Linked DNA regions of Rattus norvegicus. Each later gene encodes a partner of the first gene's protein in a complex. Links are inferred from orthologs where the notes say so. Each region holds a gene or a part of one and is shown in the gene's direction. Other genes may lie near its edges. The genes, in order: Mus81 and Eme2.

Region 1 (4,388 bases):
CCCGAGTTGATAGATTTATGATTATTTTAACACAAAGACTCTCTATGAAAGCAAGAGTTTAAAATAAACTGGGGTGGGAAATCCAGCAAGATTTCTCTGACCTCAAACAATGACCATGGAGTCACACTCTGCAGAAAAAGAGGGCAAGGTCACAAACAAGTCAGAGGCAGACGAAATAGGGGCCTTGACTTCCCCAAGCGGAATAAAGGGTGTAAATGAGGAGCTACCCCAGGAGCAAGGCAACACGCAGAGGATGCCGGGGGTTGTAGTCAGGGGCTTTCTGCTGCACGAAGGGTCTAAGCTGCAGGAGCTCCAAGTGGAGGCCAAAGCTTGACCCCCTCCTATCCCAAGTGCCGAGGCTAAAGAGAAGACGAGCTCCGCCTTAAACGAGACTCGCAGTTTCCCAGAGCAACGGGGGGAGGGGCTACGCAGTTACCCTGGAGACGCGCTTCTTCCGCCCCCGGCCGCGGGATGCCCTAGATGTCCTTATTAGGGCATGAGCCTCCAGAGGGCGTGCCCAGCCCAAGCGCCAGCTGCAGGCTCCTTATAAGGCTGCTTGAGGGAGGAGGCGGGTGCGGAAAGCTAGATTGAGACGAGGGTCTGCGAATTGGGCGCCCAGCGACTTCCGGCATGACAGCTGAAGACCGTGCGTTGTTCCAAACCCTAAAGGGACCACTGTGCTCTATTGAGCCTTGTGTCCCTCAGTCTGAGTCATCCTTCCCTCAGCAAGGTTCCCATCTTTATCCTCCCTGAGGCTCCTTCACCTTTAATGAGCCACAAAAGCAAAGTGTCTACCAGCTTTCCCGGAATCCAGCCTTGAGCCCATGTTCGAACTCCCCACCTGCCAGGACACACCTTTTATTTCTCCTTGCCCTTGCGATACACATCCTCGTCATTCACCTAGCCTGAGACTTCTGTGCCCATCCCCGACTTCGCACATTTCGAGATCTTACTGCCACTCCTGCCTTACCTTTATTTCATCCCTTGCACCCCATCATAGATGTCTCTCTCACAAATGTTCTTGGGCTTGTGTCCGTCCTTCTCCCCCCACTTTTCTCAAGCCTTTTTCTAGCCTCTTCTACGATAGTGAGCCTGAAATAGCCTTGAGACCTTGAAGCAAGCAGGCAAGTTCAGGTTTCTGAGCGTACCCCCACCCCCACCCCCACCCCACTCCCCGCCGCCAGCCAGCCCTCCCAGTCACAAGGGGCGCTGTCCGCTCTTTTAACAGTCAGCCTAAAAAACGACTCTGCTCTCGAATTTTTGGGTGAGAGGAAAGGGTGGGTCAAAGCTCGGTGGCCTGGGTGGGGCCTGTCCAAAAGGCTGGTGCTGGCGGCGAATGGGGGCGGTCCTAAGAGCAAGGAGATGCATGCCGAACTTACAAGCCTCTTGCTGCATAGTACATGGGGAAGGGAGGGCAATCCTTGATCTAGTGCCCTACTAGGCTGGAGAGGTCCTACCCTCAAACAAGTGTCCTTATACCAATTGAACCGTCGAGATCCCAGTCTCAGGGTTTTTTGAGACTCCGAAAGAACCAGTGTAGATCTTATGGCGGAGCCGGTCCGCTTGGGCCGGAAGCGTCCGCTGCCTGTTTGCCCCAACCCGCTCTTCGTTCGTTGGCTAACCGAGTGGCGGGACGAGGCAGCCAGCAGAGGGCGCCACACGCGCTTTGTGTTTCAAAAGGTGAGTCCCAGCTGTTTTCTAGTGACAGGCTCTGGCAGAGCCAGGTGATCATGAATCCTAGTTTGATGAGTTCCCTTCTCCCTTGTGCTCGCCAGGCACTGCGCTCCCTCCAGCGGTACCCGCTACCATTGCGCAACGGGAAAGAAGCCAAGATACTCCAGCACTTCGGAGACAGGCTCTGTCGCATGCTGGACGAAAGGCTGAAGGAGCACCTAGCATCAGGCGGTGAGCACCTCTGGGAGTTGGTGATCTAAACTTCTTAGGTGCTGGCTGTGTCCACTTTAACTTCAAATATCCCCCTCACAATGTGGTTGCTGTTCCACCCAGGGCTAGTGATTGATGCTCTGTAAACCTCCTAGTTCTCACGAACAAAGCTAGCTCACTGAGACAGGGTGGGTGGGTGGAGTTGTGAAACAAGACCATGAAGGTAGAAGAGTCAGAAGCATTCTCAATTTCATAGTGACTTCAAAGCTAGCCTGGGCTATCTGAGGCTATCTCCAAAAAATGACATGGGTTGGGCATAGTGATTCATGCTTTTAATCTCAACACTCAAAGGAAGCAGAGGCAGGAAAATCTTGGCGAGTTAGAGGCCAGCCAGGGCTTCACTCAGTGAGACCCTGTCTCCAAACCAAAACCCCAGTTGCGGGGGATCCAGCCCCCACTTCTGGCCTCTTCTAGTATTGCATGCAAGTGATACACAGACATACACAGGTGAAACACTCACATACATACAATAAAACACAAAAAAGTTTTAAAATACGACACTCAAATTCACAAAGTGAGCAGACTACATCTAGGCTCCTCCTGGGAGCCGAATGGTGTGCAGGACTGACTTTCTTCTGATCTCTACAGGTGACCATGCCCCCAGCTCACCATCTGGAAAGAAGAGAGCCAGCAAAGGGCCACCTGCCCAGGTCCAGGGCTCTTCCATGCCAGTGAGGATTGGGAAAGGAAGAAAGCTAAAGGGAGGTGGGAATGGGGGCAGGGGCGTTGAGAGTAAGACTTCTTGGTTTGACTGAGATTGGCGCAGGCCAGTCTTCTACCCTCTGTGAGAGGCTCGATCTTAATTCCTAAGTAGGATTATTGACACTACTGTATACAGAGTTCCAAAGGGAGCTGCTAAAAGATCTAGCCCAGAAAGCTGTGGGACATCTACCATGTTATTCTTCCATAGTTGTAGCTGGGGACTGGGCCTGGCACATACCTCCAACTTTTGCTGCTGCTCTCCCACCATCACATTCCAGATTTGCAAGCGTTTATAGCTTCATCTCCCTCCCCTGTGACTCTCAGGTTCCCACCCAGCCTCAAGCAGGAAGCACCAATGCTGGCTATTGGCCAGCTCAGAACTCAGGTGCTCGAGAGATCCTGCTGCAGCTCTACAGGGAGCACCTGGTAAGCCAGTCAGGCTCATGGGTGGGATGCAGCAGGATGGTCACAGAAGTGCCTGGGTAGTGTGTACTGGCCACTCCATGTCAGGGTGAGGAGCCCTGGACCTGAACCTACCTCATCTCTACCACTGTTTCAGAATTCTGATGGCCACAGCTTTCTAACCAAAGAGGAGCTGCTGCAGAAATGTGCCCAGAAGACCCCCAGGGTGAGCATCCGCCGAGAGTGGGCGGGTAGAGCCCACTGCAGTTTTCCCTTCATGGCAGACACCCTTGGGGTAAACCTGATCCAAATGTGGCGTATGGTCAGGGGCCTCTCTGAGGGTCTCCTTCCCTTTCACAGGTAGTGCCTGAAAGTTCAAGACCCTGGCCTGCCCTCCGAGGGCTCCTCCACAGGAACCTAGTCCTCAGAACTCATCGGCCAGCCAGGTTGGGCAAGGAACGGGGAGCACATGAGGCAGGGATGGGACACATGCAGGAGTTAGGGCATTCTTAGCCTCTCTAATGACCCAACAAGTCTTAGACCTGGTGCTGCTGAGGCTGGGGAAGGCCAGCCTACCTGCTAAAAAGCCTGATACTGGAAGACCTGGGGAGTATGAGCCTCTGAGGGGAGGGAGGACAGTATGATGAGTGAAGACAGGGGAAGGAGTTGGGAGACACGCATTGCAAAGCTGAGACACCATTAAGGGAGGTCCTGAAGAAGCTGACCTGAGGGACAAGGAGACAGAGGAGATGGGGAGCCATTGAACTTATACCAAAGAGGGTAAGGCTCACCTAGTTGAGGGAAGGAGAGCATGTCAGGGATAAAGAAGATTAAAAACTTCATGTGTCCCTCACCTCCTAGGTATGCACTGACACCAGAGGGCCTGGAGCTGGCCCAGAAGCTGGCTGAGGCAGAAGGCCTGAGCACTCTGAACACTGCCTTTCAGCCAGAGGAGCATCATGAAGAGTCACCAGTTCCAGAAGCCATCTTGTCAGAACCGTAAGAGAGAAATGGGGCAACCATACCTTTATCTCAGAGACTTATAACTGAGCCCAATGCCCCATGAGTCATGGGAACTACTCTGGCACTGAAGGTTCTGGCCTTATGCACAGCCTCCACTCCATTGTAGTGGCACTACTGAGGTGGGCGTCCAACAGAGACCACTGGAGCTAAGGCCTAGCGAGTACAGAGTGCTGTTGTGTGTGGACATTGGCGAAACCAGAGGGTAAGGGAGTAGGGGAAACCTTGAGAATGACTTGAGAATGCTGGAATGTGGTTAAGTGCTGGTTCACCCTGACTTTGGCCTTCTTTCTTGAAATCAGGGCAGGACACAGGCCAGA
Region 2 (4,383 bases), on another chromosome or scaffold:
CGTGCGCTCGTTCACGCCGCTGTAGGCTGCAGGAGTACTGGCTTCAGGCATGCCCCACCGAGTGCCCCCTGCCCAGTCCAGCCCCGCCTGGGTGCTCACCTGAGGGGAAGAGGTTAGCAAAGATGGTCAGCACCAGGCAGATCATGGCGGCGGATGAGGCGGACCAAGCGGCAAGGGGGCGGGGCCTCCCTTAAAGGACCTCTTGGCGCGGGCTCTCCTGGGGCTCTGCAATCCCAGCACATTTGAGCCCAAAACGCAGCGGCAGCGCCCAAGACCTGCCTGAGTGTACCGCCCAAGGCCTGCCTGCGTGTACCATAGCACCAGGCGCTCTGCTCCACACTGCCACCTTCCCTCCCTTTTCCAACGGTACACACATAATGAAACCACAGCACAGGCCATTTCGGGAGTTTATTTCCAGACGGAGGAATCGGCGAGGGGCCGCCTGAAAATCACAATCTGTCATCTGCCCCATTATTCATTGGCAGATGTGTCAAGGCTTTAGGGTCTCCCCACCAAAGGGGAGATTCTGACACAGTCAAAGACACTTGTCCATCAAATGACTCACAGGACCTCTCTGCCAATCCTGGCAGTTAGACTGGGGTGCCCTTGGCTCTCCCTTTAGTCTCCTGTTTTGCAGGGTAGTCCCAGGGGCGCATTCGAGTCCTCTCCAGGTTCAGGAGCGGCTCCTCGACGCTGGTATCCCCGTTTTTCTGTCGCTCAGCGAGGATCATGGCCCGCAGCAGAGGTGGGTAGGGGACAAGGTTCAATCTGTCCTCTGCTTTCCCAGTGAACGCAGTGAAAGCCTCCTCCTCGTGCTTGGGTACCAACCGCCAATCGTGGTACATGACTTGCTCGATTTCCCGAGCCGTTTCCTCACTCTTCCCTGAAGGAAAGAAGACATGCTGACTACCTGCTGGCCGGATAATATGCGAACCATCACCGGCTCCATCCAGCACCCAGCCTTACCTTTGAAAGTCAGGATACCCCAGGCCCTCCCGTGGTCCAAGTTCTGCAGAACAAGAGGAAGGATTGTCAACACAGAGCCCATGCCACTAGGTTACGTGGGCAAGGGAGACAAACACCCCCAGGTGGTTCCCGGGTGGGTAGAACCAGTCCAGGGTGAGCAAGATGAAAGTGTAAGCAGGGAACGAGCGCACCTGCGCCGTGTAGTCAGGCCTCACACGCGTGAGGCGCCAGTAGCATGGCTCGTCGTGCTGCCACAGCCAGGACTTGCGGGTAACCAGACGACCCAGGCCAAACAAGGGGAGGCGGGCGAGCAGCTGTAGAAGGCGGCTCTCGCGACGTACGTCGGCCCAGGCGCGCACTGGCAGCCGGCGACCAGAGTGCGGCCGGGTCAGCGTCTCGTAGTCTAGGGCGTAGAGCTGCGAGTCTCGCGGCTGGTTCCGCTGCTCGCGCAAGGCGCGCACGCGGCGGGCCAGCTCAGCGATCAGCCGGGGTTTCACTTTCTTCCGCGCCATGCCGGTGTCCTTACTCCACAGGAAACCTGCGCTTCACCAGCTCCCCATTCCGGAAGCGGCCAGTGTCCTGAACAAAAGCATCCGGGTACGTCCGGAAGCTGTAGGAAGGATGGGTTTATGGCGGAGGTGGGACCTGAGAGAGTCCCGGGCTCCCATCGCGGTCGGGGCCGGGGCCCGCGCCTCGGCCATCGGCGACCTCAGACCTGGGAGATTTCCGACTCAGACGCCGAAGGTGCCCCTGCTAGAGAAGTCGGCACGCCAGCCCGGAGTTCAGTAGGAGAGCGAAGAGCTGCGGCCAAGGCTTTACGGGCAGATCAGGTCCTGGAGCGTCTGGTGGTGTGCGTGGACCCAGGTGAGGGGACCGGGGCAGGGAATCTGGGGCCAGCCACACGACGGGGTAGCGTCGTCACCCGCTAGTCCTCACTGGAGATGGTGGAATAACCGCATTATCGCCTACTGGGTCCAGCTGTGCTGGAAGATGCAGGCTCCGACATCCTGATGGAGGCGCTGGGTACACTAGGCTGTGAATGCCGCATTGAGCCGCAGCACCAGGCCCGCAGCCTACAGTGGAGCGTTGTGAGGCCCGACCCGGCCCTCAGCAATGTGAGTGTCTCCCTATGACCAGCCCAGTGCCAGTCCTAATCCATGTTTCATTTTTCCTCTGGCTAGGGAGGTAGCTGCATTCATCTTTCTCGCCTCGCATAAGAGTAACCTAAAAACTGGAGGATGCCCAAGTCGAGCTGCTGCCAGAGAACCTCCTCTTGGCAATGAGGATGGGGATTGGGCTACTTTGGTATTCTGGGACTTCTGGGGAATAGTCCTAAGCTGGCCTGAACGTCACTGTGTGTGGAGCCTGGAGGGCTATTGATAGTGTCTGATGACTGACTTGCCAGAGGCGGGAGAAGCCCTGCACCCCACACAGGTGGCTAGCAGGGCCGCTGATCCCCTACAGGTGCCTCAGGAGGGGAAGGCTGAAAATGAGCAGGAACAGTTGCTGCTGCTGGAACCCCAGGAATTTCTTCAGGGTGCTGTGCAGCTGACCCAGGTATTCGGGGAAAGGTCTGTCTTTGGTAGGTCTCGCTCCCCAGTCTGGGATGAGCTGGAGCTTCTGTTGAGGATGGTGAAGGTGCTGAGGGTAAGAGGAAGAAACCTGCCGAGTGCTCTAGCCATAAGAACATTGAGGGACCTTTGGGAGAATTGCGAATAGTGACCTGGACTGCAAACTGGCCGGGGGTGTGGTGGGGGAGGAGCCCAGAATCCTAGCTGGTTCTGTCCATGTGCTGTAGGTCCAGGCTGTGGTGTCTGTCTACAACAGCTAAGAATCCCTCACTTGTCTGCTGACTTCCCTAGACTCAAAGGAAGCAGTGCCTAGCTGATATCTGCTAAAGGCTTTGTAGGTGTTGATGTCCTAGGGCCAACATTTGTCAGACACTTGCTGGGCGCTGCCCAATGTCCAGGCTGGGTGTAGAAATGGACCAGAAGAGGGCTGGCTCCCTTCTACACTAAAACCTGGAGTGCCTGTGTACTCCTGGGCCTTAAGGAAACAGAACTGAGTTCCAGAAAACAGAGGACCTATACGTTTCCCTCTGGAAACTGGCCATACTGGTGGCTACAGGTCTGCTGCCAAAGCCCTCCTGTGAACAAGTGTGGGGATATTCTGGTTTGCAGATGACAGACCCACCTTGCTCCGTCCCCTGGCTTTCTCCCGAGAGTCCCACCCGCTCCCATCTGGCGGTCATCGGACTGGATGCGTACCTGTGGTATCACCTTCAGCCTCAGAGGGGCGGGTGGGGTGGGATTCCAGGGAAGTGGATTGCCCCAGCCGCCCTGTCACCTGATCCCACTTGGCTTGGGTGGGCTGTGCCGATGTGGGAAGACTTGGGAGCCCAAAAGATGGTTGCCTCTGTTCAGTTCTTGCAAGCCCAGTTCTCAGAAGACGTGGCCACCAAAGAAGTCAGAGGAAGCCCAGGCCAGGGTAGCCATCAGCTGGTCAGAGGTGGAGGAGGTGAGAACTGTTGCTCAGTTGTTAGATGCCCGGCCTTTGTCTCTGCACTTGGGCTGCGGTCTGGCCTGTCAGAACTGGGCTTAATTCCCAGCGTCATTGGATTGGTATTCCCCAGAGGACAAGATCCATGCCCACTCTCACACTCCCCAGGCTCTGGTACTGCTTCAGCTCCATGCAAACTTGGATGTGCTGCTGGTAGCCTCGTGGCGAGAGCTGAGTCAGTATGTGTGTGCCTTCACCAAGGCCCTCGCCCAGCTCCCCTCTAAGTATGTACCCCTGCAGGCACTGAGTGTAGACAGGGCAGGGTTGGAGGGCTGCACAGATAGTGTTCTCAAAGCCTGTCTGGGTGTCTCCATTTCAGGCGGTTCCGGGACTCCCAGGCCTTTTCTTTCTGTACAGCAGGGCACTGGGCCTCAGGCCAGCAAGTGACCAGAGATGGCTCTGGGCTCAGAGGAGTGTGGTGGCGACAAATCAGACAGTTCAACCGGGTCAGCCCAGCTGTGGCTGATGCTGTTGTTACTGCCTTCCCCTCACCCCGCCTTTTGCAACAGGTGAGTCCCCTAAATTTCTCCTTCCAGGACCAGGACTTAAGGTGTACCTACTCACACCTGTGCCCACTCTAGGCTCTACTGGACTGCAGCACAGAGCAGGAGCGCCTGAGCCTCCTAGCTGACCTCCCTGTGAAGGCCCCTGGGGGCAAGCAGCCTCGCAGAGTGGGGCCTGACCTCTCTCGAAGAATCTGTATCTTCTTGACCACCACCAACCCTGACATCCTGCTGGACCTGAGCTCTTGACCGCACCTTGGGTCGCCTCCTGCCCATCAATACAACAAGACAGGCCTGCCCAAGAATCTGACTAATTACTCTAAGGGGCAGGCAAGGAGGTTTGGGTCCAGCCCGG

What was found.
Region 2: the proteins of Mus81 (region 1) and Eme2 are in contact, whole or in part, in a crystal structure (PDB 7F6L), measured with the Homo sapiens proteins. The link is inferred for Rattus norvegicus from reciprocal best matches to the Homo sapiens genes MUS81 and EME2. Residues at the interface, in NP_079404.3 of Homo sapiens: His330, Glu351, Phe354, Lys357, Arg358, Arg363, Val365, Glu381, Leu385, Gln386, Thr389, Asn390, Gln392, Val393, Ile394, Phe398, Lys400, Arg401, Tyr411, Leu414, Leu415, Arg417, Gly418, Leu419, Arg421, Leu422, Pro447, Ile464, Lys467, Ala468; in NP_001244299.1 of Homo sapiens: Glu140, Arg177, His179, Glu220, Glu221, Val224, Leu225, Gln227, Leu228, Trp229, Asn231, Leu232, Asp233, Leu235, Arg245, His246, Ala249, Val250, Lys252, Ala253, Leu254, Gln256, Tyr257, Lys260, Gln261, Glu264, Gln266, Phe268, Phe270, Cys271.

What each region holds. Positions count from the first base shown.
Region 1 is NC_086019.1:212,222,094-212,226,481, reverse strand, and holds the start of Mus81 (crossover junction endonuclease MUS81), read left to right. Parts: upstream 1-1,413; 5' UTR 1,414-1,545; coding exon 1,546-1,680; intron 1,681-1,775; coding exon 1,776-1,905; intron 1,906-2,532; coding exon 2,533-2,615; intron 2,616-2,970; coding exon 2,971-3,072; intron 3,073-3,205; coding exon 3,206-3,274; intron 3,275-3,408; coding exon 3,409-3,494; intron 3,495-3,909; coding exon 3,910-4,047; intron 4,048-4,141; coding exon of another isoform or gene 4,142-4,177; coding exon 4,178-4,273; intron 4,274-4,370; coding exon 4,371-4,388. UniProt on the Homo sapiens protein: Catalytic subunit of two functionally distinct, structure-specific, heterodimeric DNA endonucleases MUS81-EME1 and MUS81-EME2 that are involved in the maintenance of genome stability.
Region 2 is NC_086028.1:14,417,685-14,422,067, reverse strand, and holds Eme2 (probable crossover junction endonuclease EME2), read left to right. Parts: upstream 1-1,578; 5' UTR 1,579-1,595; coding exon 1,596-1,830; intron 1,831-1,944; coding exon 1,945-2,081; intron 2,082-2,430; coding exon 2,431-2,523; intron 2,524-3,146; coding exon 3,147-3,238; coding exon of another isoform or gene 3,239-3,389; coding exon 3,390-3,483; intron 3,484-3,633; coding exon 3,634-3,749; intron 3,750-3,844; coding exon 3,845-4,034; intron 4,035-4,061; coding exon of another isoform or gene 4,062-4,106; coding exon 4,107-4,277; 3' UTR 4,278-4,333; downstream 4,334-4,383. Other genes in the region: Mrps34 (28S ribosomal protein S34, mitochondrial), read right to left, coding at 591-883, 967-1,009, 1,158-1,478. UniProt on the Homo sapiens protein: Non-catalytic subunit of the structure-specific, heterodimeric DNA endonuclease MUS81-EME2 which is involved in the maintenance of genome stability. In the complex, EME2 is required for DNA cleavage, participating in DNA recognition and bending.